4 linked regions of the Diceros bicornis minor genome follow. The protein of the gene in region 1 interacts with the protein of each later gene in a biochemical or structural test. Links are inferred from orthologs where the notes say so. Each region holds a gene or a part of one and is shown in the gene's direction. Other genes may lie near its edges.

Evidence for each region.
Region 2: the proteins of UBR5 (region 1) and PAIP2 form a complex in vitro, tested with the Homo sapiens proteins (2 studies listed by BioGRID and IntAct, with this or other methods). The link is inferred for Diceros bicornis minor from reciprocal best matches to the Homo sapiens genes UBR5 and PAIP2.
Region 3: the proteins of UBR5 (region 1) and OTUD5 form a complex in vitro, tested with the Homo sapiens proteins (2 studies listed by BioGRID, with this or other methods). The link is inferred for Diceros bicornis minor from reciprocal best matches to the Homo sapiens genes UBR5 and OTUD5.
Region 4: the proteins of UBR5 (region 1) and PCK1 form a complex in vitro, tested with the Homo sapiens proteins (2 studies listed by BioGRID, with this or other methods). The link is inferred for Diceros bicornis minor from reciprocal best matches to the Homo sapiens genes UBR5 and PCK1.

Annotation. Positions count from the first base shown.
Region 1 is NC_080760.1:20,706,944-20,713,898, reverse strand, and holds the start of UBR5 (E3 ubiquitin-protein ligase UBR5), read left to right. Parts: upstream 1-3,935; 5' UTR 3,936-3,965; coding exon 3,966-4,027; intron 4,028-6,955. UniProt on the Homo sapiens protein: E3 ubiquitin-protein ligase involved in different protein quality control pathways in the cytoplasm and nucleus. Mainly acts as a ubiquitin chain elongator that extends pre-ubiquitinated substrates.
Region 2 is NC_080740.1:57,744,196-57,751,901, forward strand, and holds the start of PAIP2 (polyadenylate-binding protein-interacting protein 2), read left to right. Parts: upstream 1-4,693; 5' UTR 4,694-4,807; intron 4,808-7,706. UniProt on the Homo sapiens protein: Acts as a repressor in the regulation of translation initiation of poly(A)-containing mRNAs. Its inhibitory activity on translation is mediated via its action on PABPC1.
Region 3 is NC_080781.1:42,207,470-42,214,744, reverse strand, and holds the start of OTUD5 (OTU domain-containing protein 5), read left to right. Parts: upstream 1-4,255; 5' UTR 4,256-5,011; coding exon 5,012-5,605; intron 5,606-7,275. Other genes in the region: KCND1 (potassium voltage-gated channel subfamily D member 1), read left to right, coding at 263-488. UniProt on the Homo sapiens protein: Deubiquitinating enzyme that functions as a negative regulator of the innate immune system. Has peptidase activity towards 'Lys-48'- and 'Lys-63'-linked polyubiquitin chains. Can also cleave 'Lys-11'-linked ubiquitin chains (in vitro).
Region 4 is NC_080758.1:5,975,182-5,982,226, reverse strand, and holds the start of PCK1 (phosphoenolpyruvate carboxykinase, cytosolic [GTP]), read left to right. Parts: upstream 1-4,027; 5' UTR 4,028-4,047; coding exon 4,048-4,271; intron 4,272-4,711; coding exon 4,712-4,893; intron 4,894-5,332; coding exon 5,333-5,536; intron 5,537-5,668; coding exon 5,669-5,856; intron 5,857-6,216; coding exon 6,217-6,379; intron 6,380-6,824; coding exon 6,825-7,045. UniProt on the Homo sapiens protein: Cytosolic phosphoenolpyruvate carboxykinase that catalyzes the reversible decarboxylation and phosphorylation of oxaloacetate (OAA) and acts as the rate-limiting enzyme in gluconeogenesis.

The DNA of each region.
Region 1 (6,955 bases):
GTCCTTTGGGTAAATACCAAGAAGCATGATTGCTGGATCATATGTTAAGAGTATGTTTTGTTTTGTAAGAAACCACCAAACTTCTTCTCAAGTGGCTGCACCATTTTGCATTCCCACCAACAATGGATGAGACTTCTTGTCGCTCTACATCCTTGCGAGCATTTGGTGTTGTTAGTGTCTTGGATTTTTAAGCCCCATTGTTTTAGTCAACCAACATTCATATACCTACGTATTTTCCCTTTTCATTCGGCTTCTTCCTTTTATGCCTTTCTGAACTTACACTGGGGAATTATTTTCCTTTTGCCTGAAAAATACCCTTTAGTATGGGGTGCCTGCTAAGAATGTCTCACATTTCTTTTTCTTTTTGTGAATGTCTTTATTTTTCTTTCATTCTTGAGGCTATTCTTTAGCTGTAGAAATGTGCTTTGCCCACAAGTGAGGAAAGCTTGATGTGTCAGGGAGTTAACAACCCAAGGGATGGGTTGATGGATAAATACCTCCAGCTTGCTTGCTCCCCGCTCAGTGGCAATAACTCTGAGGTGTGTCCCACACAGTCTCTCAGATGGTCCCCAGTGGGATTGAATTCCAGTTGCCCACAGTGGTAAAACATTCTTCAGCCCATCTTTTATTGGGTTTTCTCCCTTCCCTGTCTCATTTCTCCATCCCCACACAGTGCTTCCTGCAATCACTTCCTAAATAAACTATTTATAGCCAAATCCTTGTTTCCAGGTCTGTTTTGGGGGAAACCAAATCTAAAGACATGACCTTTTTCAGGGGTGCAGTCCTTCAGGGCTCAGCACAAAGTAAGAGAGGTCATTAGCACTCCCCACTGCATTGGGGGAGCTTGGACATCAATCCCTGTTGTCTTAGCCCTCAGTGCTTGTCAGAAGAACTGCTTAGCCTCTTGGCTTCTCCCTCTTTCTGGAATTGGCGCTTATCCCAGCGGAAAAAGTGGCTCCAAACACAAACCAGGACTCACTTCTTTGGGTCTTATTCATCCTTTGGATCCTGGTTTGGTAATTCATCATTTTGTTAACATTCTTCTGCTTTTAAGCAGACTTAAAGAAATATTTTGTCTAACATTTCTAGCTGTTCTCAAAGGGAGAATTAGTCCAAATTATTAGAAAAGAGGCCCCTCAGCCATCTTTTCTAGGCGAGTATTCCACTTTGACTCTTCAAACAGCTTCTGCTTGAACCCTGCTTATCACCATTCCCTACTTGTATTCCCCCCTCCTCCATCCATGTGATGGGCTTGCACAACTCCATGCCTTTATTCTTGTTTTTCCTTGTTCAAAGTGTGACCCACCAAAGTTTTGGGGCCCTGGGAGAGGAAAATTCTCCCTAACACGCCAGCCTGGGACAACAAAAAGGTTGCAATGCCAAGATGGTTGTCAGTCAAAAACCAACTGGGCAGTTTGAATGGGCTGCCTGGAGGCAGGGGACCAGCCTTCAACCAGGAGGGAAAGTCTCTGTTCCAGGAAACTAGGAGTGGGTAAATCAAGTTGGAAGCAGGGTGGAAGCATAATGAAAAGATGAAGAAAGACAGATTTGGAAGAAAGAGTAATGAAGCAAGTATGGGTATGGTGTGGAGTTTGTTTAGGGGCAAATCTAAAAATGACTAGGTTTAAGCCAGATACTCTATTTGCCCAGGACATTCTTGAAAGCTCAGCTTAAATGACTTTTCTTAATTCTCTTGGCTGCAATCGCTTCCTCCTTTAACTTCCATGGCACTCTTATTGCATTTATCATATCACATTTTTCCTATTGGCTTTGAACAGTCTGTTCCTTCTAAATTATTAACTAGATGGCAGCTGTGCTATAGTGGAAAGAGCAATGGAATCAGAGTTAGATGACCTGGGTTTAAGTCTCAGCTTCAGCACTTACCTAAGGTGTCGAGCCTCAGTATCCTCATCCTCATAATGGGGATGATATTATTTACCCCATAGTGTGATTTGAGCATTAAAAGACATGTGTATAAAGTGTTACATAGTGAGCACTTGACAAATAAAAACTTCCATTTTCTGAGCCTACTAAGTGTTATGAAGTGCTCCAGGTGCTTGGCATACATTATCTTATGTAGACTTCACCACAACCCTATGTAGATCTACTACTATGAAATATCTTACAATTGAGAAAAGACACTACGATAGGTTAAATAATTTAATCAAGGTCACAAAGCAAAGCAGCAGGAACAGGACACAAACCCAGGTCTGTATGGCTCTAAAACTAGCAGTGTCCATTGATCTACCCTGCTTCCCCATGGCTGGCGTGGACTTCTAATAAATAGCGGCCTTGAAATCACTTTTTAGTCTAAACTAATCTGGGCCAATTTTGGAGCTGGTGACCTACAAAAGTGTTCCGTTATCTGTCTCAAGGGGTACCTACTCTATCCTGATTTATAAATAAATTTTCATATATTTTGCTCAAAGGAACGTCCTAAGCAAAAGTTTGTGTGTATATAATGCATTAACAGAAGAAAAGTGGTACTTAACGTTAAGACCGTTTCACAGGACCCCCGATTTAACGAACATCCACACAGGCTGGAGAAGAAGCTTCATGTTTTCACTTTTTGTCTTGAAAGAAGTACTTGATTTTTTGAAGGAGTCATAGAAGCCTTTGAGAAAAAAGCTAGGAGCTGGTTCCCTAGAAAAAAGCAGATAGATCCATTCAAGAATTTGCCTTTACGATCCCACTGATCCTAAGTTGAAGAACGCCTTTGTAAAAGTGATATATCATCTTTCTTTTAAAAGTAGTAAAAACAAAAAATCATGAATCATTTACATCAGGAAATCGGTGGAAATTTCCACATTTTGTCTTTGTGCCGGTATGTGATGGTGGTGGTGGAGAAATCGGGGAGACTAGGGTGATCAAGAAGTTGCTGCAAAGTCAGCTTTATGATCCTACGATAGGACTTTCTGGAAAGGTCCTTATATAACTACCTTACTTCTCCAATAAAAGGCTGTGTATTTCTTGCCCTTTCACCGATTTTACACTGCCACTTTAAATATAATTGCGGATCAAGGACGAGAAACAACAACAAAAAACCCCTAAGGGTCTGCAAAATAATTAGGGCTGCCTCAGGGAAATCAGAGAGAGGACGGACGCGGGAGCCCCTTTTGCTTCCCACTTCCCCGGGGACACACTCTCAGCCTCCTCCCGGACTCCCTCCCCGCCGGCGGGCTCGCCCCTGCGCCTCCTCCTTCCCTAACACGTGCTCTCCGGAACACTCACTCGGGAGACATCCCACCTCCCGGGGGCCGGGCTCGGGGGCCGAGCGGACCAATCCGCGCGCGTCTTACAGCGTCGTGGCCCGACAACGTTGAGCCGCCCAATCGGAAGGGCCTTACCGCCCGTTTCCCGGAGCCCCGCCCCCTCGCAGCCGAGCCCCCGCCCGCCGGTCTCCTCCCTCCTCCTCCTCCTCCTCCTCCTCCTCCTCCCGTTCGCCCCTCCCCCGCCGCTCGGGAGCGGAGCCTGCGAGACGGAGAAACTGGGGCAGAAGTGAAGATGGCGGCGGCGGTGCTGGCGGCGGCGGCGGCGGCTTCTCGCCAGTGACGCGCGGTGCGGGCTCATCTCTCCCCACCTCCCTAGTCCGGACCCCGTCCGCCGCCGGGACCACACCGTCCCCGCAGCCCGCCCCTCTCCGCCCTCCCAGTCGCCCCCTCTCCCGACGCCCGGCTGCCGCTGGCGGCGGCGCGCCCCGTGTCCCGGCCGCCGGCCTTGCACTCCTGCGCGCTGTCGCCGGGGGAGCGGGTGGCGTGTTGATCCGCCCGCCCCGCCGGACCGCGGGGCCGCGGACACACGCCCGGCAGGGAGGTGGCGGCGGCCCCTGCGCATTTGCTTCCCTCCATTTGGGGACTGGGAGGCGGCGGCGGCGGCTGTGGGTTTTGGGAGGGGAAGGGGGTTTGGGGGGGGCGGGCGAGAGCGGGAGGGGGCCGTCCTCGAGGAGAGGACGAGAAGGAAGCACCATGACGTCCATCCATTTCGTGGTTCACCCGCTGCCGGGCACCGAGGACCAGCTCAATGACAGGTAATGGGGCCGGCGGGCGGGCGGGCGGGGGGAGGGGCGCCTCCCCGCCCTCCCCTCCCCCACGGGGCCGCGCCGGGGCAGGCGCCCGTGTTTACGCGCCGGCCGGCCGGCCGGGGGGTCCACATTGCCCCTGGCTAGGCCCCTTCCGGGGCAAACTTCTGGTCCTGGGGGCCCGGGGCCGCGGGGGGAGCGCGGTGTAGACGGGAAAGCGCGCTGCAACCTCCCCCCCCCCCCGTCCCCCTCCGAGGAGCCGCGTTGAACTCCGCGGAGATGGGGGGGGATCCGGCTCCCGGGGGGGCGGGCTGTAATTACCGCCCGGCCCAGGCCCGAGGAATCCATATTAGTCAAAGTTGAATTGAGACAGACAATGCGGATGGGGGATGGTGGAGGTAAAAAGAGAGGGAAGAGGAGAAGCGGGGCGAGGGGCCCTGGGGTAGGCTCGGCTCGCCCGGGCCCCCGGGAGCTGTGTCCGGTCGGGTGGTCTGGACCAGCCAAGCCTGGAGATCCCGGGGGAGGGGGGAGGCTGATTCCCGGCAGATCGCGGTGGGGGTGGGGGGAGGGAGGAAGCGCCATGATTATTGTTATTATTATTAAATTTGAGCCCCTGCAGTGAGGTTTGCCAGCCTGGGGAGGGGTTGAATTCAGGCGGGGGTGGGTAAGTGGATTGGATTCCCTTTGCTCTCCTTCTTCCGAAACGGTGCTGGCAGCTCCTGCTCCCAGCCCCTGTGGTGCGAGCTTTTTTGTTTCCTTTTTTATTCTAATGATAGTGTTTTCCTGAGTTGTAATTTGACAGCTGAAAACCGTGCGTGGAGTCAAAGGAAAACTCTTACGTTTGCAGTTCGCAGTGCTGCCTTTCTTAACGCGCTGTAAATTTCTGCGATGGGTTTTGCTATGGGCGGAGGAGGAATTAAGATTTTTTTTTTTGTCTTTCATAAGAGGGCTGTTTTGGCCGTGGATTTCTCCCCTTCCCTCCTCCACCGTTCCCTGCCGGTTTAGGATATTGAATTGGCAGGGCCGCATGCTCACAGGGAACGGAGATAAAGCAGGAAAAGTTCCTTCACTGTGGCAAAACAGAGACTCCGAGGAGGTTGAGGGAGGCCTCCATTAAAGCAAGTCTTAGAATCTAGGACTCAGATCTAATGATGGGCTAAATGTTTATAGGGTTAGAAAGGGGGGCATTTTAAGCCCACGTCTCTCCCAATACTTCGCTGCTCTCTATTTCTTTTGAGTATAGAAGGCCACCTGGACCCAAGTTCAGAAGTTAGCTATTTTTGCTAAGTGACCGGGTGACATAAATTGCATGACGCCCTGTTTGTCATGCGCTTCCCGGAGGGAGAAAGAGGCCTAACTTGCTGCTAAGATATTGGCCTCTGTCCCCAAGAATCTAACCGCCTCAGGTAGGGCGGACAGCTTTTCAATCTGAAAGCTGGAGGCTTGGTTTCTGGCACTGGGTTCGGATTTGTCTAATCTTTGCTGTAGCCATATTGTATTTAACATGTTTGCGAAACTTTTGGAATAGTTTCTGAAAATATTAAGTATTTGGAGTTGTTACATAGTTCCTTTAAATACTGAAATAAGTTTTTAAGTCATTTATTTTAACATTTTGTTATGTGATCCTTACTCTGATTTTATTTCGTTAGAGATCTTTTTAAAGACTGTTTTGTAAATTTTAGAACCAGGCTAGTAGTGAGGACAGCTCTCCTGTCATTGGTAGAACCAAGTTGGTAGTGCTTGTAATGTAACTTGTAACTGAGAAAATTGCACAGGGAGGAGAGAAGTAGGGCATGTTTTCTATATTAGTCCTAACTTTATACACCAAGAATCCTGACTATGCAATGCCAAAACCTATTTTGCAGTTGTGTTGGGCACTTTGATTCATTTTTGAGCCTGCCTTTTGCTTTAGCTAGTCTGAGAAATTTACAAGTAATGTATCTTTTTTTAAGCTACCTTTTCTTTTTTGCACTCCTAGTGTAAACAAGTAATCAGCTTTGTTTCTGATTTCTGTAGTGTCAGTATACAATATTAAGAATATTTAGATCATCTTGAGTTTTCATTTCATGAAGTAAAGAAAAGACAAGTTGATTTGATTCAGATCATAAAATGTGCACCTCAAAGTGGCAAATATTTGAAAAAATAGGAGAAGGCTCTAGGTAAAATTCTAGAGATCTATTATTGTATCTAGTAAAAATGGCTGGTCTGTTGACATTTATGAAGGCAGCATCTGAGACTGCCATACACCCTAAGTTTTGAAGTAGTTGACTTGTTAGTGGAGCTGTTCTGTGTCTCTCCTCCAAAAGGAAAGATCATCTTTCCATACCTACTTGCAAAGTAATAGGATCAACTTATGTTGCATTGCTTGAGAAAAATCAGTTTCCAAAAGAGATTGATTTTCTGGAAACTTTTAACTAACTAGAACAAGAAGCCCAGAATATTTTTGCCTTCAGATAAAACCTTTACCAAGGTTTAGTAAGTTTTGGTAATAGAAAAGAGTTCTCTACTATAGCTTGATTTTTGTGTGATCTATGATTGTCACAAATGAAATGATAAATGATAGTTTTGGATGAAAAAGACTAAGTAGGTAGACTTTATTCTATACATGAAAAGCAGTGAGATTGGACAGGCAGTATGGTACTGCAAATAAATTGCTCAGTTAAAACTTAGGGCCTCAAAACATCAGTATTTTCTTCTGCAAATGTTTTCTTTCTTTAAATAGCCACATCCTGTTAAAAGTCAAATATTTTGTTCAGTGAAATATTGTGATGTCTCAAACATCCAAAATGTACTCAGCATTAAAAAAAAGTATCTGATATTTTTCTCTTACTTTGTGTTTTCATACTGGCTAATACTTGATAGTCTTTGTATATTGGGTTAAAATCTTCAGTTATTGGCCTTGGGAGACCAAATAATGAATAGAGTTGATGATTATAG
Region 2 (7,706 bases), on another chromosome or scaffold:
GATTTTTTTCTTTCTGGGAGAGTCGCCCTGAGCTAACATCCGTTTGCAATCTTCCTCTTTTTTTTTTTTTCCCCCCTCCCCAAAGCCCCAGTACATAGTTGCATATTCTAGTTGTAGGTCCTTCTGGTTCTATGTAAGCTGCGGCCATTGCACGGCTACTGACCTATGAGTGGGGTGGTTCCACGCCAGGGGACCGAACCTACGCCGCTGAAGTGTAATGCCAGACTTTAACCATGAGGCCATCAGGGCTGGCTCCGATTGATTAAAATGACTATATTAACATAATTATTAAATTAATATTTTTAGCCCTAGCCTTTCTTTGAACTTAGTAGTTCTAGCCTTAGAAAGTTTTATAATTTCCACAGAATTTAAGAACTCTGTAAAGCCAGATGTACAGTAGGGAATAGGAAAATTAGGTGAAAATGAAAGGCAATCTATTAGGTGTAGTAGACAAAAGTTGATGAACATATGCCCACCCCAATAGCATATGTAAATTTAGGATGAAAAACTGGCATTAGATACAGGTTAAGTAACCTTTCAACCATGATATCATTGTGCTTCATACATGGTAGCATTGATGAGGTATTGATTCTATGGACCTGATCCAAATAGGATATACCAAGAGCAGCGGGAATGTCCTTTTGATTAGGACAAAATACTCAAGTTTCAGTCATTGCACCTGCCTATCAAAAGCCAGACTAATTCCTATTTGCTCAACTTTGCCAGAGTTGTTAAATCAGTGGCTTCTAATGGGCTATTTGACTCACCCTTTTGCAAAAATCTTCACCTATTCCACATCTACACCTTATTTTCTAAATCCTGCTCGTCCTGCCTACTCAACCTATACAAATTTGGTACACCTTTTAAGTCAGACTAATTTTTAAAAAAATACACAAGATTTACCATCTTAACCATTTTTAAGTGTACAGTTCAGTGGCATTAAATACATTAGTAATGTGCCACTATCACCACCATCCATCTCCAGGACTCTTCATCTTACAAAACTGCAACTCTGTACCTATTATACAATAACACTCCTTTCTCCCCTCCCTCTAGCTCCTCACAACTATCATTACAATTTCTTTATGATTTTGACTACCTCATATAAATGGAATCATACAGTCTCTTTGTGACTTATTTCACTTAACAATGTACTCTAGTTTCATCCATGATGTAGCATATTGCAGGATTTCCTTCTTAAAGGCTGAATAATACTCCATTGTATATACTTCAATGTATATACCACATTTTACTTATCTATTCATCCATTGATGGACACTTGAGTTGCTTGTCCATTTTACCTGTTGTCAATAATGCTGCTATAAACATTGGTGTACAAATATCTCTCCGAGACCCTGCTTTCAATTCTTTTGGGTATATACCCAGAAGTGGAATTACTGAATCATATGGTAATTTTACATTTCCACCAACAGTGCACAAGTGTTTCAATTTCTCCACATCTTGCCAACACTTGTTATTTTTTGTTTATTTGATAGTAGCCATCCTAATGGGTGTGAGGTGGTATCTCATTAAGCTTCACTAAAACAACTTTTCTGGGAAACGATCATGCCAGTTACTGCCTTGTAGGCATTCAAAGTTTGTTAGATAAGGGCTGGCCCTGTGGCTTAGCGGTTAAGTGTGCGTGCTCCGCTTCTGGCAGCCCGGGTTCAGATCCCAGGCGCGCACCGGCGCATCACTTCTCCAGCCATGCCGAGGCCGCGTCCCACATACAGCAACTAGAAGGATGTGCAACTATGACATACAACTATCTACTGGGGCTTTGGGGGAAAAAATAAATTGTTTAAAAAAAAAAAGTTTGTTGGATGATGCTTTGTCTCACCTGAAGTGTAAACATTTAGAGCAGGGGCCACTGCTTACCCCCACAATTCTAGGCCTTTACTCAACACACAATAATGCTTCCACATGATACAAATGAGCATAGGCACAAGGCCATTACCAAACAACTATAGGAACATATGTTAGATTTTATTCGAGGTGTGATTTTTTTTTCCTGTTTATAAATTCAATTCAGGCTTTCATAGAGAATTCAGACAATATAAAAATGTATACAGAAGACAGTAAATCTTCTTAAATCTGACCACCTAGAGATATTGCTATTATAGATATTGCTATTCTACCAGATATTTGCATTTATACCCACGCATGCCTATGTCTACATATATAATTTTAGAGGCTTATTTTTTGCAGCATGCTTAAAAAAAAAAGACATAAGTATAATTCCATAACAATGAATATACATCTTTTTAATAACTAATGTTTTATTCTGTTATACCATAATTCATTTAACCAATTCCCTATTGATAGGCTTTTAGGTTTTTTTGATTGATTATAACATAGCTATGAATATCCTTACATGTTTTTACATATGTCCAATTTATTTGGGCAGATTCCTATACATGGAACGTTTGAATCAGAAGACTGACACATTTTACATTTTGATAAAACTCACGCCTATAGGAAGATGGTAGAGTCGGAGCTTAGTTGCAGCCATCCTGGGCCTTCATTATCATCCTCTCTCCTGTGATTCCTACTTCAACCTCCATCTCAAATTAGGATTGTTACTAATCTGAACCAAACAGATGAATTTCTGCAGTATTTGTAAACTGTGGACCTCTGCTAGTCCCATTGAAGTGTTTGTCCTCATCATTGGCAAACTTGTCCCACCTTTGCTCTTCTGAAAGTGTTTTCCACTCATACCATCACCACCACCATCCAGGCATAGCATGAACATAATGAACCCCATTTTGGAAGTGAGCAGAGGGTCCGTGGAAGGAGATATCCAGAGGATATCTTTAAGCTTTCTCAACTACAATGGCGAACTCATCCTGTGAGCTGGGAGTTGAAATCTTAACCCGTTTGGGTGGGGAAAAACAACATAAGCCTTTGAATGGTTCAGATTAAAATAAACCAGGGGCTGGCCCCGTGGCGTAGTAGTTAAGCTCACACGCTCTGCTTTGGCGGCCCAGGGTTCGCAGGTCTCGATCCCGGGCGTGGACCTACACACCGCTTACCAAGCCATGCTGTGGCAGGTGTCCCACATATAAAGTAGAGGAGGATGGGCACGGATGTTAGCCCAGGGCCAATCTTCCTCAGCAAAAAGAGGATTGGCAATAAATGTTAGCTCAGGGCTAAAAAAAATAAAAAAATAAACCAGGATTTATCAAAGATTTTTCAATATTACCAATATAATCAATTAAGTGGTTTGTGTTGCTAAGTAACAAGTTCAGTTCATCTCATGATTAGCTGCTAAGAATGTCAGGGTCAACTACACATTATCTAAACTCCTATTTTTATTGTGTTCTCCTCCTGTCCTGTTCATGCCTCTTCCAGCCTCAGGTTGATAGCTTATCTTCCAGGTTCCTTGGATGAATCATACTCCACAGACCTGTAAGACAGCACCATCTCCTTCCAGAGCTGTTTGCTCAGCAGACAACAAAGCCAAACCCTTCCTCCCAGTTTAGGATACATATCTGCAAATGTGGCCAAAGTGGTTGACCAGAGCCTATGGCAGAACAACTGTGCTCTTCATTTCTTTGGGGTTTTGGACTGACCCAAAGCAGACCTTCAATGAATGAAATGGCCCTAAAGAAGAGTAGCCCTATTTTGGATTCAGGCCTTCCCATGGAGGGAAACTTTTTTTTTTTTTGGAGTTTTAGTAGATATTATTAAAAGCATGTGGTTTTTTAGGGATTCAAATTTTGCAAGAGAGTAAAAAGGTAAATCTCGGTCCCTCATTTTCCTTGTCCAGAGGGAAGAAATTAATAGTTTTTGTGTCCCCTTTCAAAAATAGTGCATACATATTCAAACATCCAAATTTTTTTACACATACTATACACTGCACCTTGATTAGTATCACTAAAAATATACATTGGGGCTTGCCAATGATGACAGCAAGGAAGCATGGATTAGAGCAATGTATGGGGTACAGTGCATCCAGGTTCATAGACTAGGAAATTCTTGGACCTTGAGGTCTCACCGTATCCTATCTCTGAACAGGGTGTTTCCTCTCTTAGCCACAAAGAAGTTTCCATAGACTGCCTGCGAACCATAAACTCATAATTTTCGTCCATGTGTAAAGGTCTAGCTTCAAAAAGTGTGTGCCTGAACGTGTCTGAGTGCAGGTGCTTGGAGATCAGTTAGTATGCCTCTGTGAACGTCTTAGTTTGTTTCTGTGTTTATTCTTTCTGCGTCAGAATTTCTGGATGTGACTTGGTGCGTGTCACTGTTAGTGTGCAATGTGTATTACGTTTGGTGTGTCTGGGTGTGTGAGTGCGCTGTCGTTATCTAGATGTTCCTATTTGGTGTCGCTACGTTTGAAGTAACTGTTTCGGTCTGTAAACGTCTAAGTTTGTGTATCCTCTCAGGGTCGTCTTCGCTCCCCAGTTCCCCTACTCGCTGCTTCCCACCATTCTTGAAGGATGGTCGGGTGTGGGGACACTGGCCCGACCCCACTCAGGACTCCCAGCATACCACACCACGGCCACCAGGGTACGTAGGAAAGGCCGACGCGCACGCACACGCGTGCAGCCTAGGAGACGAAGATAAATTTGGGGTGGCGCGTTCTCTCGCGCGCTCTCTAGTGGTCTCAGAGGGCAGCGCAGACAGAACGAGAGGGCGGGGCCGACGGCGGCGGAAGTGAAATCACTTCCGGGCTAGGGTGTTTGTTTGGACTGGAGAAGGGAGGCGGCGGGCGAAGCGCGCGTCGAGCGGGGGAGCGGCGCTGCCTGTGGAGACCCGCGGAGGCCGACCGGATTCGTTGGCTGCCGTCCCCGCTGCCGTGCACTGGGTGAGGGATTCCCTCGGGCGGAGCGGCCAGAAGGGTGCGGCGGCCCCGGCGGTCGAGGGACAGCACCTCGACGACGGCTGAGGGGCCTAGCGGGTCCCCCGGGTTGTTGGCCACCAAGCCCCGTATGGCCTCCGGTGTTCCTTACCCCTTTCAGCCAAGTCTGAAGGATGAGCTTGGACCGACTTCGTCTCTTTCTTCTCTGAGACATGGCCGTCGCTCTTTTTTCTCATTGTCATTATTATTTATGATTTGGATCTCGCAGCTCTCTATCCGGGTCCTCGGTGGCGCGCGAGGGTTGCCGGGAGAGCACTTTCTCGCGTCTCCCCCTCCCTCCAGTCCCTTCACTCCTCCCCACCGGCGGGTACCCTTTTCCCCCTGCCCCCCACCGCCGCCCGGGCAACAAAGCTCATTGTTTCTCCCCACTTTACGCCTGCGCGTCGCCACGCGCAGCGCCTACTTGCCGCGCGTGCGCGCTCCTCCCGAAGCAGGGGTGGAGGAAGAGAAAGGGGCGGAGGGACTGGCGGGCTGGCGAGCGTACGAGGGGAGGGTTCTGCAACGGTCCACGGGCCTGTACCTTTCAGATCCCCTTTCTCCATCTTCTTCGCCTACCCCTTATTTTTAGTTGTATTGTATACCATGCTCTGGATAGGAGGGCCTTGAGGGTACTGGGAACCCCTACTCCAGGAAGTTTTTGAGCCAGATGAATTTTAAGGGCCCATCGAATTCACATTCTTTGATTCTGGTACTCCTAATCTTTCTCTGTGCTTACGCCCCACCACCACCAAAAATATATGATTTGTGGTGAAGTCTGTGTTTCAAAACTGTTGAAGCAGCCAGCAGTGGTGTTTTCTAGTGACTCCAAAAAGGGATCTTTGCTTCTTTTTGTTGTCTTGTTTTCCCTGATTTTGAAGCCCCATCGCCTCACAGAATCCGCACCCTCTGGAAAGAATTTAGCTTCCAGTTTGTCGTGGGAGAAGGTCTTACAGCTGACAGCTTTTGACGTTTATTTCGACAGAAGACAAATTTCCATTTTGTTTGTGCTGGCTAATCTTGTCTTGAACCCTGGTGGCATGATTTTTCACAAACTGCATTTGAGCAGTTGATCAGGTGTTGGTTTGCACTTTCATTAAATAGCCTTTGGAATTTCATATGCTGCAGGTTATGTTTGCAGATAAGAAAAGGGTCTCGATAAGGATTGTTAATGAGATTCCCCATGTTTGCTGTTTTGTGCTTGTTTCCGGTTTGAGAGAGAGGATATTTGGGGCAAATTAGCATGTTTATGCCACTTGTTAATTGTGAACTTGAACGGAACTTAATTTTTTCTCGCAAATAAGTGTCTATGACAAATAAAGATAGATAATTGTCCAAAAATTATAGCCTATTTGTTTCTTTAAGGGTTGGGAGTTAGGCAATGGAGATTCACTGTAATGGTTAAAGGCTTGGGAGCTGGGATGTTTTTATTATAGTGTATTGCATATTGCTCCTTAAGAGTTCAAATTGAGGTGGATAATCTCCACCCTGTTTGGGACAGAGCAAGTTTATAGTAGGCTTCTCCTTAAGTAAGCACTCTGCATCTTATGCAAGTTTATTTCTTTATGACTATAGAGAGTGATGCTCCAGTTTTAATGAAAATGTAAACATTTATAAAATGTCCACTGTTAGCACAGCTATTCATGGGTATTGTGGGAGATGAAAGAAAGTGGAAAATAAGGCCCCTGCCTCCCTTCCTTTTGTGCTTTTCCATATTGTAATTTATGAACTGTTTTCATATTCATTATAATAACATGAAATAGGCAGAGCAAGTTTTATATCGCCCATTTTGAAATTGAGGAAATAGAAGCTTGAGAGATTATTTTATTAGGCACATACGTCTATAGCATTTAGTAATTCCAGGTATTGTAAATGCTTTTACAAGTGTTTAATCTTCACTATCTCTAGGGAGTAAGTACTACTGTAAAATGAAGATAACAAATGAGAGATGTTAAATAACGTGCTCAGTGTTACACAGCTAGTAAGAGCTGGAATTCAAATCCGAGTAGTCCAGAGATTATGTGCTTTTAAGCATTGTACCGTGCTGTCTGTGATTTAACGATATATGCAGGGTCTTGTGGGTGGTTTGTGGCGTATCTGGGATTCCAACCCAGTCCGAGGTTAAAGTTGTCCAAGTTATTGCCTTTGTGATCAGGACCATCCTGTGGCACAGGTGCATTAACATTTGATACAGCCCAAGGTTCGGTTCCAGTTAACTCAATCTTTTTCTTAATTTGCTCATTGTTTAGAGAGGTGCTGTCCAATAAGGTAGCTACTAAGCACATGAGTCTGTCGAGCACTTGAAATATGGCAAGTGCGACTGAGGAACTAAATTTTTAATTGTATTGAATTTTAATTAGTTTAAATAGCCACATGTAGCTAGTGGCTACCACATTGGATGGTGTAGGTTTAGAGGTTTGAATTGCCCCTTCTTTTCTTTTCTTTTTTTTTTCTGAGGAAGATCAGCCCTAAGCTAATATCCATGCTAATCCTCCTCCTTTTGCTGAGGAAGACCCGCTCTGAGCTAACATCTATTGCCAATCCTCCTCCTTTTTCTTTTTTCCCCCAAAGCCCCAGCAGGTAGCTGTACGTCATAGTTGTACATCCTTCTAGTTGCTGTATGTGGGACACGGCCTCAGCATGGCCGGAGAAGCCGTGTGTCAGTGCGCGCCCAGGATCCGAACCCGGGCCTCCAGTAGTAGAGCACGCGCACTTAACCGCTAAGCCACGGGGCCAGCCCCCCCCTTATGTTTTTGTATCAGTTTTTATAAATAAGGATGGTGTTGCTGTGTGCTTTGAGCTTTTATCAGTAGAGATGATAGGCAGGGCTGAGCCATCTTTGTTATACTACAGTTGAGGTTAGGGTTAT
Region 3 (7,275 bases), on another chromosome or scaffold:
AACTACCCTACAAGAAGAAATACTGTTATTCACATGCTACAGATGAGAGAAAAAAGAGGTTGAGAGTGGTTACAGTGGGACCAGAATTCGACCCCAGGACTGACTCCAGAGCCCTCACTCTGTACCACCATAATTGAGGAGTCAGGGGAAGCCTTTAGCACAGTGCCAGGGACTCAGTAGGCACCCAATAAATGTCATGATTGATGTGGCAAGTATTAAGATGACTTTTTAAGAAGCTTCCATCTTCCCACCCTATCCACAGCCGCTCAAGCCTCAATGCCAAGCCCCATGACAGCCTTGACCTGAACTGTGAAAGCCGGGACTTCGTGGCTGCCATCATCAGTATCCCTACCCCTCCTGCCAACACCCCAAATGAGAGCCAACCTTCCTCCCCTGGTGGTGGCGGCGGGGCCAGCAGCACCCTCAGGAACTCCAGCCTGGGTACCCCTTGCCTCCTCCCTGAGACTGTCAAGATCTCTTCCCTGTGAGGGGCGGCCCCGCCCATCCAGAGAGCCCTCTTGATTCTTGGGGACTCCTTTCCAAAGCCATATTTTGGAGAGGCAGAGAGGGGCAGGCCTGGGGACCCCTTCTGCCCCCCACTGAGAACTATGCAATGGAGTTTCATGGAATGGCCTACCTAGTGGGGAAGTAGCCAGGGAATGGGAAACTTCCCCCAGCCCAGACAGTTTTCCTTGTGGGAGCTGAAGAGCTGGGCTTCCTCGCGCCCCTGGCCTCCTTGCCCCAGCACACTGGGACTGGCCCCTCTTCCTGAGCTGGCCTCCTGCATGCTCCTCCCCTCGGGCCGTTGGGCTCCCACCTGACATCTGAGCTCGGCGTAAGAAGGAGAGATGAGACTTCCTCTTCTCTCTGGCCGGGCTGTGGAGGTTTGGAGGTTCAGAGAAAAGAACTCTCACTTCTGATCTGGCCTTTAGGAGAGGTCCCCACCCTCCACCAGGCCCAATAACTCCCAGATTCTGAAGCTTGGAATGCAACCACAGGCTTCATGAGCTGTGCCTCAGCAGTGACCTGCCACCCCCAGACCTTGGCTCAGGGGTCAGGCTGCCTCTCCCAACACACACAGATAGCACAAACACCACCCACCTTCCCTGGCTGCTGGAAATGGGTCCCCACAACCCCGTCCTCTGCTGGGCCCCCAGCCAACTCTAGCAATAGCAGTTGCTGCCATGACATTATGCAAAGCCTTTGCCCAGTTTGCTGCAGCATTTACATCTGCCCTAATCAGAGGGGCCACCTCTAACTACTCCTCCTTCTCTCTTCTCTGGTTTGCTCCCTTCCTGGGTTGGGCTGGAGTCTGGACTGGCTGAGATAAGACCTGGCAGCTAGCAAGAGCAGGGCTGTGTTTGGAGATCACGGGCTAATTCCATGTTCTTGGGCAGGAGTCCAGAAGCATCAGGGCTGGGGCCTGGGTTGTTCCTGAACTCTGGGAGTTCTAGGAGGCAGGAGGAACTTATTGATCTCCTCCTCCCACAATGCTTTTTCACATATTCCTCTTTCTTCTCCCTTTTGGGTCACCTTCCAGAACTCTGTGTCTGCTCTCAGGCTGAAATCTGGCATCATCTCAGGTTCCCTGTCCCCAGCACTGTCCCTGTGGAGTTGGAGGCTGACAAAGATGTAGTTTCCATCAGTCAATAAAATCTGAGAGGAGAGATGAGGCTGAGCACCTCCTGGCTTTGTGGGTTTGGGGGCTGGATTGGGCTAGGGGGTTAACAATACTATGATTTCAAAGTATTGCTGGAGAAGGGCTGGTTGTGGGTAAAGGTATGGGAGGTGGATGGTTGGTGACGTGTTCTGGAAGATGGGAATCTAGGAGAAATGAAAGAGGGTGGTTTGAAGAGTTGAATCTACAGCCAGCAAGGCAGGCTAGGAGGTCGTGAGACATGCCCCTTGAACTTCATCTGCTCCAGCTCCCTCACTCACAGATGGGGGAACTGAGACCCAGAGCAGCACACGCTTGATTAGAGGAGACTTAAACCGAGGCTTCCTGACATCAAACAGCTCTGAATTGAACCCTAATGAAAAGCATCTCTCAGTTTGGCAAATTCCCCTTCCTTGTGGATGTCTCCTACATTCTCTCTTCTGAGCTCCCGGGTACACTAGGCTAGTGTGTGACTGAGCTCTGTGGAGCACTGAGAAGACAGACCTTGGATTCAGGTCGACCTGGGTTCCAATCCCTGCGTGAGAAAATTACTTCTGTTGCCTCAGGTTGCTAATCTGCGAAATAATCATTCATTTATTCACCAAGTATTAACTTCATATCATGTGCTAGCCCTAGGGAGACAAAGATGGGCAAAGAAGACATCATCTCTCATCTACAGAGGTGAGCATGGAAGGCAGGCAATTAAGCGATTACAATACAGTACAGTAGAACTAAGATGGATAGATTATAGAAGCATGTAGATGGCAGGAGAACCTAATCTGGCCGACACATGAAGAATGAGTTGGAGTTAGCCAGGCAAAAGACAAAAGTATGAAAATGTATCAGGCAGAGAGAACAGCATGTGCAATGAATGAGCTGGAAGGTTAGAGAGTGAGCTCAGGGCCTTTGGGGAACTGAAATTAGTTCAGTACAGCTGGGGAGGAGAGTGTGAGGCTGTGAGGAGGGTGAAGATGCAGAGGTAGGCCAGATCATAAAAGGCCTTTGAAGCTATGATACAGGTTTTAGACTTCATACTAAGAATGATAGGGACCTCTGAAGGCTTATAGACAGGAAAGTCACTCTCAGGTTTGTGTTTCAGAAGGATCATTCTGTCTGTGGAGAGCGGATTATAGAGAAACAGTCCCAGAGGGAGGACGAGCAGTGAGGAGGCTTTTGCAGAAGTCCAGTTGAAAGGTGATGGTGGCTTGGATCAGGTAGTGGCAGTAAGAGTTGGAGAGTCAAGAGATTTGAGAGATAGAATGGGCAGAATTTGGGATTGACAGGCATGCAGGAGTTAAGAAAGAGGAAACAGTCAAGGTTGACTTCTTGGTTTCTGGCTTGGGGAAAGGCTGGATTGGGGTGCCATTCACTGTCAAAGGGAACATCAAAGCTGTTAGTGCACAGTGCCAGCCACATAGTAAGTACTCGGTGAAGGTTAGCTACAATTCTTATCATAAGTTCAGGTTTAGATATGTAGTGCTGACCAAATATCCAGTAGGGAGTGGGATGTATGGGTCAAGTGAGATGGTCATGAGAAGATTCCATGTGATAATGTGCATAGGCATTTGGCACAGTGCCCTGAACACAATAGGCCCAGTAAACGTGAGTCCTCTCCTCTCATTGTCTCAAGAGCAGAAAACACCACAACAGTCCGTTTATTACTGACATCCTTCAGGGAAGAACTTCAACTAGGGTCAGCATCTGAAGCGAGGTTAGGTCGCACTCAGAAGGGCTTTCTGATGGTCTCACTGTCAACCTCTTGTATGGCTCGGCTCCTAAGACTGGTAGTGAGCCCTCACCTCTCACAACACCTTCTCGGTTCATGAGCTTATTGAACCTCATAACTACTCTCTGAGGGAGTCTGGGCAGGCATTATCACTCCCGTTTTACACATGGCTAACCCCAAATTTGAGACACAATGACTTGCTCGAGGTCATACAGTTGGTAAGGGTCCATCCGTGCCTGGAACTGAAGCCTGGAACTGGACTCTTCCTGACTCCAAAGCCTGAGATCCATTCCATTGTACCGTCACGCAGACTAATTTATTGAGCATTTACTACGTGCCAAGTACAGCACCAAGCCCATTACAAGCATTCATCTCTGATCATTAAAATGGAATTATCATTGCCAGTTTACAGAGAAGTAGAATTTGAGGATGGAGGGTGTTAAATGACTTGCCGGAGATCACTCAGACAGGAAGGTCAGAGCTAAGATTAGCTTGTAGCTCTCCAGTAGCTCAGTAGCAGGGATTTTACCAACCCCATTGCGAGACGCTGGCCAGTGACAGACCTGGTTCATAGACTTCTCGATCCAGGTAAACTCAGTTTCAGAAAAAAAGGCTGCGCTACGCCTGCGCACTAGCTACAGGGGCGGGGAGGTCAACCCGAGGGCGAGAATGCGGTGGTGCCAAAGTGGGCGTGTCTGTTTCCCAAACACCACGGTGCATGTCTGTCCCATGGTTGGCCTTCCGACTTGAATGACGGCCTCTCTTAACCAATCATCGCAGAATTCAGCCTGTTGCCAGGGTGAAGCGGCGCCCTCCTCTCCGTCGGATGTGGATTTGCCGGTGGGTGGGACCGGAACTGACGCTTCAGGGGATTGCTATGCTCTGGGAGTGTTGATATTCTCGTCAGTCCGGCTGACTGCAGCCAAGTTAGAAGCCTGGTAGGGAGGTACTTTTAAAATTATCTTGCGTGGGGCAGGCTACGCTGTCCTGTCGCAGTACTCCTGCCTGCGAGTCAGAGCCTCGGAGAGAGAAGTAAAGAGCGGACACGGCCGACAAGAAGGCAAGGAACGAGGGTGCCGACTTGACTGAAATTTGAGACGGAGGGCACGGGAGGGCGAGCGATCATCTCTGATTGGCCTGTGGGCGTCATCGAAGACCCACGCAGCTGCTTCGATTGGTTGCTGCCCGCAATTGTTGTGGCGGCGGCGAAGATTTTGCCCACGTACTTCCGCACGAGAGGCGGGGCTGTGCCCTGGCGCGCGTGCGCAGCGTCCCGGGGCCCCACCCGGTAGTTCAAGAACCTGCGAGGGGGCGGGGCGAAGAGGTGCTTGTTTTGGTTCTGTTTCCTTTGAAGCAGAAGGCCGGAGCGAGCGTAGCAGTAAACTTGCTGGACTTGAAGAGAAGGCTACGACAAACTCGCCGGGGTGCCTTCAGCTTGGACTTCACATCCGGGTTCTCCTGCCGCGTGACCCGCGCGCCGCCGAGAGTTCTCGAACCGGTGCCTCAATCTCTTTATCCGGGTCCCGCCGATCCCATCGTGCTTCGCGCACCACAGTAGCCCCCTCATCCGGGTTCTCTCCCGGCGTGCCCCGCGCCGGGTTTGCTGGGGGGTACTCGGCGGTGCCGCCATGACTATTCTCCCCAAAAAGAAGCCGCCGCCTCCCGACTCTGACCCCGCTAACGAGCCGTCGCCGCCCGGGCCGCTGCCCCCGGCGCCGCGCCGCGGCGGGGGTGTGGGCGTGGGCGGCGGCGGCACGGGCGTGGGCGGTGGCGACCGCGACCGTGACTCGGGCGTTGTGGGGGCCCGTTCCCGGGCCTCGCCACCGCCTCAGGGTCCGCTACCGGGGCCACCGGGTGCGCTTCACCGCTGGGCGCTGGCCGTGCCGCCAGGCGCTGTGGCAGGCCCGCGGCCACAGCAGGCCTCTCCTCCTCCTTGCGGGGGCCCAGGCGGACCCGGCGGCGGTGCCGGTGACGCGCTGGGCGCAGCGGCGGCGGGTGTGGGCGCGGCGGGCGTGGTGGTGGGCGTGGGCGGTGGTGTAGGCGTGGGCAGCTGCTGCTCTGGGCCGGGTCACAGCAAACGGCGGCGTCAAGCGCCTGGGGTTGGCGCGGTTGGCGGGGGCAGTCCCGAGCGTGAGGAGGTCGGCGCAGGTTACAACAGCGAGGATGAGTATGAAGCAGCTGCAGCACGCATCGAGGCCATGGATCCTGCCACCGTCGAGCAGGTATGGGCTGGGGGTGGCAGGTGAGTGAGTCTGGTCGATGGGATCCCCGGGCTGGGTAGGGACCCGAGGAAGGTTTTTGAGATCGGCCCAAGGGCCCTAACATCTTTTCCCGGAGCTTGGCGTTCTTTTCTCTGGTGGTAGGGGTGTGAGACACCCTCTTCCTCCTCTCAAGAACTTGGTGTTAGAGGCCCCAGATGAGATGGAGGACTTAAAGATGAGGTCTGTGGTTACTTTGAGGACTCATGGTCGTCATTTCCGGCCCTGGGACCTCATCATGTAGGGCCAATAGGTGGGAACTCCCCAGGAGACACAGGCAGGATGGAATGCTTTCTGAGAAGGGTGTCTCCTGATTCTCCAAGGAACTTTGGTCTGTGTTCAGTGGCTTGAGATTTCTTTTTCTCTGGGATAAGAGTCTAAGACTCCGTCTTCAGGGAACACAAGTGAGGTGGAGACTTCAGAGATGTCTGAGTGTCCCCAAGATACCTAAATCCTTTCGGGAGTCTGAGACACTATATAGGACAGATCTCCTCTACCTTCTTCTCAGGGGAACACAGTGCAGGACCACTCAGTGATGGGGTCTGAGACCTCCTCAAGGGTCCTAAGCCTGCCTTCAAGGGCCTGAGACTCCCTCTTCTAGAATCATGGGCCTGACACACACATATATGTCTTCTTTAGAGAGAGGGATCTTCTGAGCTTTTCTCCAGGTATATAAGACTTCTTTCAGGGAGATAAGATTTCCTTCCCATTGGGGACAAGGGTCAAAACACCCAGGGACCAGAAACTCTACTAGGGCATATGAAACTCATCTCCTTTCTAAGTGACAAGGGTCTATGCTTCCTCTCAGTGGTCTGAGACGTTCTTGGGGACCAGAGTGAATCTCTCTTAAGCTTCTGTTAAGCATTAGACTTTCAGCTTCCTCCCTGCCCTGAGCCTTGCTTCAAGAAAGTGAGACTCACTGTTTTGGATACTGGAGCCTAAGATCCTCCTGCTTATGGACTGGGGCTTTCAGAGACTGGGTCTGAAGCCTCTTCAGGAGACTGATACCCCTCCGCAGGTCCCAGGCAAGGTGAGGTCTTTAGGGGACCTTTCTCCTCAGGAGCTAGTGTCTGAGTGTTCTTCTTAGGAATCTGAGACCCCCCCCTTCACACACACACACAGGGATGTGAGATCCTTCTAGCCCAATTATGAAGGACTGAAACACACCTTGGGGACATAACAGCCCCCTCTTCCCCTATAATAGGCATCTGAGCACACACTCCCCACACGTAACGGCGTGAGCTTCTTGTCAGGGACGTAAGATCCCTGCCTTGGGAACTCGGGACTGAGACCACTCTTCAGGGGACATGGGAAGCATGGAGTCCCAGAGATTTAGTCTGAGGCCTCACCATGGATCTAAGCCTGCCTTCAAGGGCCTGGGACCCAGTGTGCTAAGGACGCTTGCACTTTCTTTCAAGGACAGGAGACCCTTATATACCCCAGTGACTAGTGTGTCTCTAGAGATGAGGTCTGAGCTTCCCCCTCAAGGAACTTAAGGTACCCCTCAGGAACAGGAAAACTCTCCCCACCAGAATGGAGCCCTGAGACCCTTCCCTTGGGGCATGGATACAGAGTCCCTGGAGAATAGTGTCCTGAATCTCCCCTCAAGAGTTTACACTTTCCCTCATGTGCAT
Region 4 (7,045 bases), on another chromosome or scaffold:
TTAGTACATTCACGATATTATGCAACCACCGCCTCTATCTAGTTCCAGAACATTTTCATCACCCCCAAAGGAGAACCCCTACCCATTAAGCTGGATTAACATAATCTTTTAAGGACCCTTTCAATTATATGATTCTATGGCTCCAAAATAGAAACTTGACTCATTCAACTCTGTAAAAACGAAAAACCCTTCCAGACTGCAAAGACATTAAGTTTACCCCATAAATGTAGAACATCTAAATATTTGTCCCTCACAAACATAGTTGGGGCGGATGCCCAGGATTGCCCAGGCAAATTATTCCATGCCAGATCATTGCACATCTGAACAGTGTTTTCCTGCTGTTGGAAGCTTCCACAGCTGTGCCAGTCGGGTGCCATGGAGCACCTTCCCTGGCAGTGCAAACCAACCCCAGGGTTGGTTTGCACACACACCTTTGGCTCCAAGACAAGACATGAGATTTACACTGTTAGTTTCTTATCACCTTCTAGAAATTACTGTCCTTTTTTTTTCTTTACCAGGTAAGGGTCATGCTTTCCTGTGAATTCAGATCTGAATGGAGGGGCATTTTTGTGGGCACTCCCTGGGTGGAATGAGCCTATGCTGTTGCCCCCATCAGTGATGGGGTAAAGTAGGGAGGTCATGATCTTGCGGATAAGAGCCTTAGCTTGGGAAAATGGCATATTTGCTCTCTCTGGGTCTCAGCAGTTTCACTCCTCCAATGACAGAATTGGTTGTGGATTTCCAGTGTTGTCTGGCTGTGGAATTCCTTGTTCAAACAAAGATCCAATATGGAAGCCTAATGTGCACAGCAGGTGAGGTCAAAAGTGCTGTGCAAGGGAGGGCTCTGAGCACGTCTCACTTGGCCTTTCCTCCTCCTCAGAGGAGGCTCAGAGGAATCCCCCCAGATCCCTCGGAGCACAGAGCGGAGGCCACGGACTTGGACTCTGCAGGAACTGCAGACGCTGGCGTTGGTCTTTGGAACTTCTGATTTTTATTGGCCTCCAATAACCAAGAAACGCCAATGTTTATCACAAACGGTCCTCGGAATCCTCCGTGAGACCCCGCCCAAGTTCATGGCTTTGTTTTCCTTGGCTCACCTGGAACGCAGGTGCCCCACCCCATGCCTCGCCTGCTCACACCTGTCGAGCCTCGGCAGGCCCTGCCCACGTTTCCGTGCTGCCTCTTCGCCTGCTCCGTCCCGCACGGGCATCTGAAGGCTTTCCAAAGTCACTCACTCCCTCCTCAGAGCCCAGAGGACACCCACCCTGCAGCTTCAAAACGAAACGCGCACAGACCCTCAGGGAGGCGTTGTGAAGAAGTTACTTTTAGGTTTGAAACTATTTTTTTCAGTGTCTGGTCTTTCTCCTTCTTTCAACAGAGCAGTTTTGTATCTGGGCTCAGCTTTTTATGTTTTTTAAAAGGCAAGCAGCCTTGCCCCTTAGGACATCTGTGCTCAAGTGGCTGCCCCTCCAGGTCCCCAAGGAAACCAACGGTGGGTGGGTGGTGGGTACGTACCTGGTTTTGAGCCCTTCTCACAACCAAGCCTGTGCGTGAATGGGGAGACGCCGATGTCTCCAGCCAGCCCCTTGAAAATATTGCTCAATGAGTCCCCTTTGGGGCCAGGAGCCTCTGAGGACAGGGACAGACTGGGGCCCTAGGGCATCATCAACTGTGGGACAAGGGAACTTTGTCCATCCTTTTCTGTGTCCTCAAAACACTAGCTCCTCTCTGCATCACTTGTTCCTTCGAGAAAACTCGGTACTTGAAGGTAAATCTGAAGCCCAATGTTTGCTTGTTAACGTTTTGACAAGGGACAGTTGCAAAGGCATAATCCCATCCTTCCCTGAGTGAATGTGGGTGATTCAACACCTGGGTGCGGGGCGCTGGTGACTCACCTCGCCTACGTCTTAACTAGCTGGTTCTCTCCCGGAAGACTCCCAACACAAACACCTTGAATTTATGGGTAGCGTTTAACACTGCAAATAAGTTCTGGTTTCTCATTTCTGTTTCCAATCTACATGCTTTTTGAGGGGATCAAACCCGTCACAGTTTTATCAGCAAAATGGGAATCTCCACCCATCTGGTGAGATGAACTGCACTGGTACAAATGTCTGGTTGTGTATTTGAATGGCTAATTTCACTGATGTCTGATGCTAAGACAGTGTCCCTCAGCAGCTGAGCATTATGCGGTGGTGGAATTTAGACACCACGCAAATTTAGGTATGGCTGACAGCACCACTAAAATGAATTCCAGTGACCTAGGTAGGAAATAATTTAAAACTAAACAAAAACTTTTCATATGGTGTTTACACTGAAAGATTGAGTTGGTTGAATAAGAATCTGAATGAATGAGACACAGCAATGAGTTGATAATTTTGGTGGCAGTTGGTGACATGTGTAACCTCACATGGCAGTGGGGACGAAGCCATACAGGGGACTCCTCTAAATACTCGTGGTCTGAGCCTGCCATTCCCAATGCCTCATATTTGCCACAGCTCCTGACAGACACAGTCACAGAAGTATCTCTGCGCACACCCCGCGGGGGAGGCAGGCAAGCCCCATCCCGCCTCGTCGGAGGGAGAGGGCTCCCACTGAGCCGTTGGGCTGGCTGTGGGGAGTCAGGGCCTGACCCCGTTCTCCTGACTTCTCACCCAGTTCTCTCGAAATGCCAGCAAGCAGGTTGCAAAGCAAATTCTTTGCAGCTGTTATAAAGGTCTCATTGCTCAAGTGTAAACTAGCAAAACCACCAAGCCTCCTCCATTCCCCAGATGCTCAAACTTGGAAGGGCAGCAAAAAGTGATAGTCGACTCCAGGAGTAACTGTACCCAGCCCAAAACTACTTGGAGAATCCATGGAAGGTTCCAGAAAAGGCAATGGCTCCTCACAAGGGACAGTTTGGTATGGAGCTCCAGAGCCCAGCTTGCTCGTGTTCCGGTCCTCCCTCTGCCACCCACCAGCCAGGTAGCTGGGATTAGCCACTCGGCCTCTCTGTGCCTCAGTATCACTGTCTGTACATAGGGTTGTTCGTGGGCTCCACCTCAGAGGGTGGCAATGTTGCAAAGCACTTAGAACACTGCTCGGCATTTACTTTTTCAGAGCCTGCTCTGTGCCAGGCCCTGTACACACAAAGGTGAACGAAATAGGCCCAAATCTCTGTCCTCAGGGAGTTTATATTTGGGGTGGGGGTGGGGGCACGCAGTGGACACTCAATAAGGTTATTAGCCCCCAATTAGGTCAGAGCTTTCCTAAGAATCTCCGCGTTGGCCCACATTCAGGTGCGTTCTTCCCACGGGCCTTTGACTGTGGGGTGACACCTCACCACTGCAGTGTTTTGAGGACCAGCAGCCGTCAGCACACACAGCGTGCTGCCAGCAACCCTTCATTTCCAGGAGTTGTCCCACCAGCCTGTGCATGATCCCACCTGCCTGTCAATGGAAGGGCAATGAGTTTTGCATCAGCAGGGAGCCGGGTCAAAGTTTAGTCAATCAGAAGTTGCATAAGGACTTGCGATGGCTGGTCTCCGGATCAGCGGCCTCCCAGCATTCATTAACAACTATCTGTTCAATGATTATCTCCCTGGGGTTTATTGTGGAGAGCTGGTCCAAAGCACAACTGACCGTGGCTGTGATCCAAAGACCTGCCCCTGACGTCAGAGACGAGCCTCCCTGGGCACAGCCGAAGGGCAGGCCTTCCTCCTCCCCCGGATTTAAGGCCAGGAAGCTGGGCCACCCACTACAAACAGGCCCTACCCCTGGGAACGCACGCTCGCCGGCGAGAGGAACCCCTGAGGAAACCCTGGGATCTCTGATCAAGATCATCCCCGAGAAGAGAGGTAAGGTAGAGCCTTTTCACTTACATTTACATTGCAGCGATGACACTGTGATCGTTTTCTTTTTCCTTAGAGCTACGACCATCTGGCGATGTGCAACCCAAACAAAGCACGTGGAGTTTGTTTGAGGGAGTCTGTGGCTGTTTTTATTCAGGAAGCCTGTGCTTTCCATTTCAGGGAAGCTTGGCATCCGGGCCCCTTGACACAACCCTGCAGAGATGCCTCCTCAGCACCAAAAACGCCTCAACTTTTCAGCCAAAGTGGTCCAGGGCACCCTGGACAGCCTGCCCCAGGCGGTGAGGGAGTTCGTGGAGAGCAGCGCCAAGCTCTGCCAGCCTGACCAGATCCACATCTGCGACGGCTCCGAGGAGGAGAGCCGGCAGCTTCTGTGCCACATGGAGGACCAGGGCGTGATCAAGAGGCTGAAAAAGTATGACAACTGGTAAGTGCGGCCTCGGCCCTGGGCTCACGCCTTCCCCTCCGCCAGCTTGGTGTCGCTGGAAAGACCCGCGCGAAGCCCTCTCCAGGGGTTGAGACTCTTGAACAACGTAACAAACAGCCAGAACCGTATAGACTGACGACACTCGCAGAGCAGCCTGTCTTCGAGGAGACGGCACATGCAAATGCTCTCTGCAAACTAGGTCTCTGATAAAAATGAGAGCCAGACAGTCCCTGTCCTAAAGACTAGCTAACGGTGGGTGACTGTGTCCTGACTATGTCCCGGTGGGTGTGGGTGTCCACAGGTATGAGAAGAACACGATAATGAATAAGACTGTCCATTCTTAAATGATGCCTGGCCGAGGGAATCCAGCACGCAGATGCAATGCAGAACAGCAGCACCTCCCTCTCCATGCCTAACCTGTGTATTTTTTATTTTTGCAGCTGGCTGGCTCTCACTGACCCCAGGGATGTGGCCAGAATTGAAAGCAAGACAGTCATTATTACCCAAGAGCAAAGAGATACGGTGCCCATCCCCAAAAGTGGCCTCAGCCAACTGGGTCGCTGGATGTCGGAGGAGGACTTTGAGAAAGCATTCAATGCCCGATTTCCTGGGTGCATGAAAGGTGAATCAAACATTTATTTGATGGGGCAAAACCAAATAGAAGCGAAAGCAAACCTTTTCTTATTATGTCTGTCCTAATTGTAAGAGTAATGGCAACTCCCATGGCCTCAGAGACCTTTAAATTCCATGTGTGAAACTGGCAATGTATTAAGAATGTACATCTCAGTTCCGGTTTTACAGACTGTCTTATAGGAACATGAAAACGATTTCTGTGCCTGCAGATTTGAGATGGCTTGGTGGACTCCAACTGCACATTTAAGAAAATTCATTTTGGCATTCGCTCACTTTCCAGGGGACTCTTCTAAATCAGGGGGCTGAGAGCAAGCGAAGTGTGACGTTGCTAGTAGGAGACGATGAGAATGGGTCCACCTGGGAAAACAGTGTTGGCTGTTGTGAGTCTGGGGTCATATCTCACCAGTTCCCACCGACTGGCCCCGCAGGTCGCACCATGTATGTCATCCCCTTCAGCATGGGGCCCCTGGGCTCGCCTCTGTCAAAGATCGGTGTCCAGCTGACAGACTCGCCCTATGTGGTGGCCAGCATGCGCATCATGACGCGAATGGGCACACCTGTCCTGGAAGCACTGGGCGATGGGGAATTCGTCAAGTGTCTCCATTCCGTGGGGTGCCCTTTGCCTTTAAATAGTAAGTGTGTTATTTCAAAATCAAAAGCTAAAATTTTAAAAAGTAAGCCTAGCCTTAAACCCCAGGCCTGTGCTCCTGGGGTCCCCAGGCGGGGACGTGGTGTGTTAATGTGGGATGTGTCCTCCTGTGCAGAGCCTTTGGTTAACAACTGGGCCTGTAACCCAGAGCTGACCCTCATCGCCCACCTGCCCGACCGCAGAGAAATCATCTCCTTCGGGAGTGGGTACGGCGGGAACTCGCTCCTCGGGAAGAAGTGCTTTGCCCTCAGGATGGCCAGCCGGCTGGCCAAGGAGGAGGGGTGGCTGGCAGAGCACATGCTGGTAAGATGCAGGAAATCCTACATGTGCCTGGTAGAGGGTCTGGGGGCTGAGGCAGGGTGGTGGCAAATATATATGGCATTGTAGTTCCCATTAGGAGAGCCCCAATATGCTCCAAGGACAGATTCGGAAATTCCATCAATAATTATTAATGCGCTAATGGATGCCCCTTTTGAAGGACCTCAGACACCGTGGAACCAATAGAGATCCTCTGGACTTCATTACTCAAAATGCTCACTTTAATACCAAGAAATAGATCTTGGGAACCTACCTGTTGGGTTCTAGACACACTCCTAGACTGAAGGACTGACCACTGGTGGGGAAAGGAATGAAGAGCTTCAGGAGGAATCTTGTCTCCAACAGATCCTGGGCATAACCAACCCCGAGGGCCAGAAGAAGTACTTCGTGGCAGCCTTTCCCAGTGCCTGCGGGAAGACCAACCTGGCCATGATGAACCCCACTCTCCCAGGGTGGAAAATAGAGTGTGTGGGTGACGACATCGCCTGGATGAAATTTGACCAACAAGGTGACTGCTTTAGGCCCAGCTATTGACAGCAATAATTGAACCTAAGAGATTTTTTGGCTTTCAAAACATGCCAAGTTCTCCTAAATCCACAGTGTTTGGATTTTTAATTCAGTTATTTCAGACAGATCTTGCAAAACCTTAGAAATATGTATTCTGTAAGTGTTCTCTAATTTAATATTGAATCTGGATTGAAATGAGGCCATATGTTATTATTGTTTGTTTACATAATAAATTTGTTAAACTAGTATTGGTGGAAAACTGATGAGGAAGAAAGAGTTGAAAAAGCATCCAAGTTGAATATAATAAGAAAGGAGAAATATATTCTAGGGAGGAGGGAAAAAAAGATTTGAGAATTTGGTACAAAAATTAGCCAGGCAGGATGTAAGAATATATGTTATGCTTTGCTTGGCATTCACTTCTGCTTCTCTGGTCTAAAACTTTCCAGGTAACTTAAGGGCTATCAACCCAGAAAATGGTTTTTTTGGTGTCGCTCCTGGAACCTCTGTGAAGACGAACCCCAACGCCATCAAGACCATCCAGAAGAACACCATCTTCACCAACGTGGCTGAGACCAGTGATGGGGGCGTTTACTGGGAAGGCATCGACCAGCCACTGGCCTCGGGTATCAGGCTTACTTCGTGGAAGAACAAGGAGTGGACCCCCGAG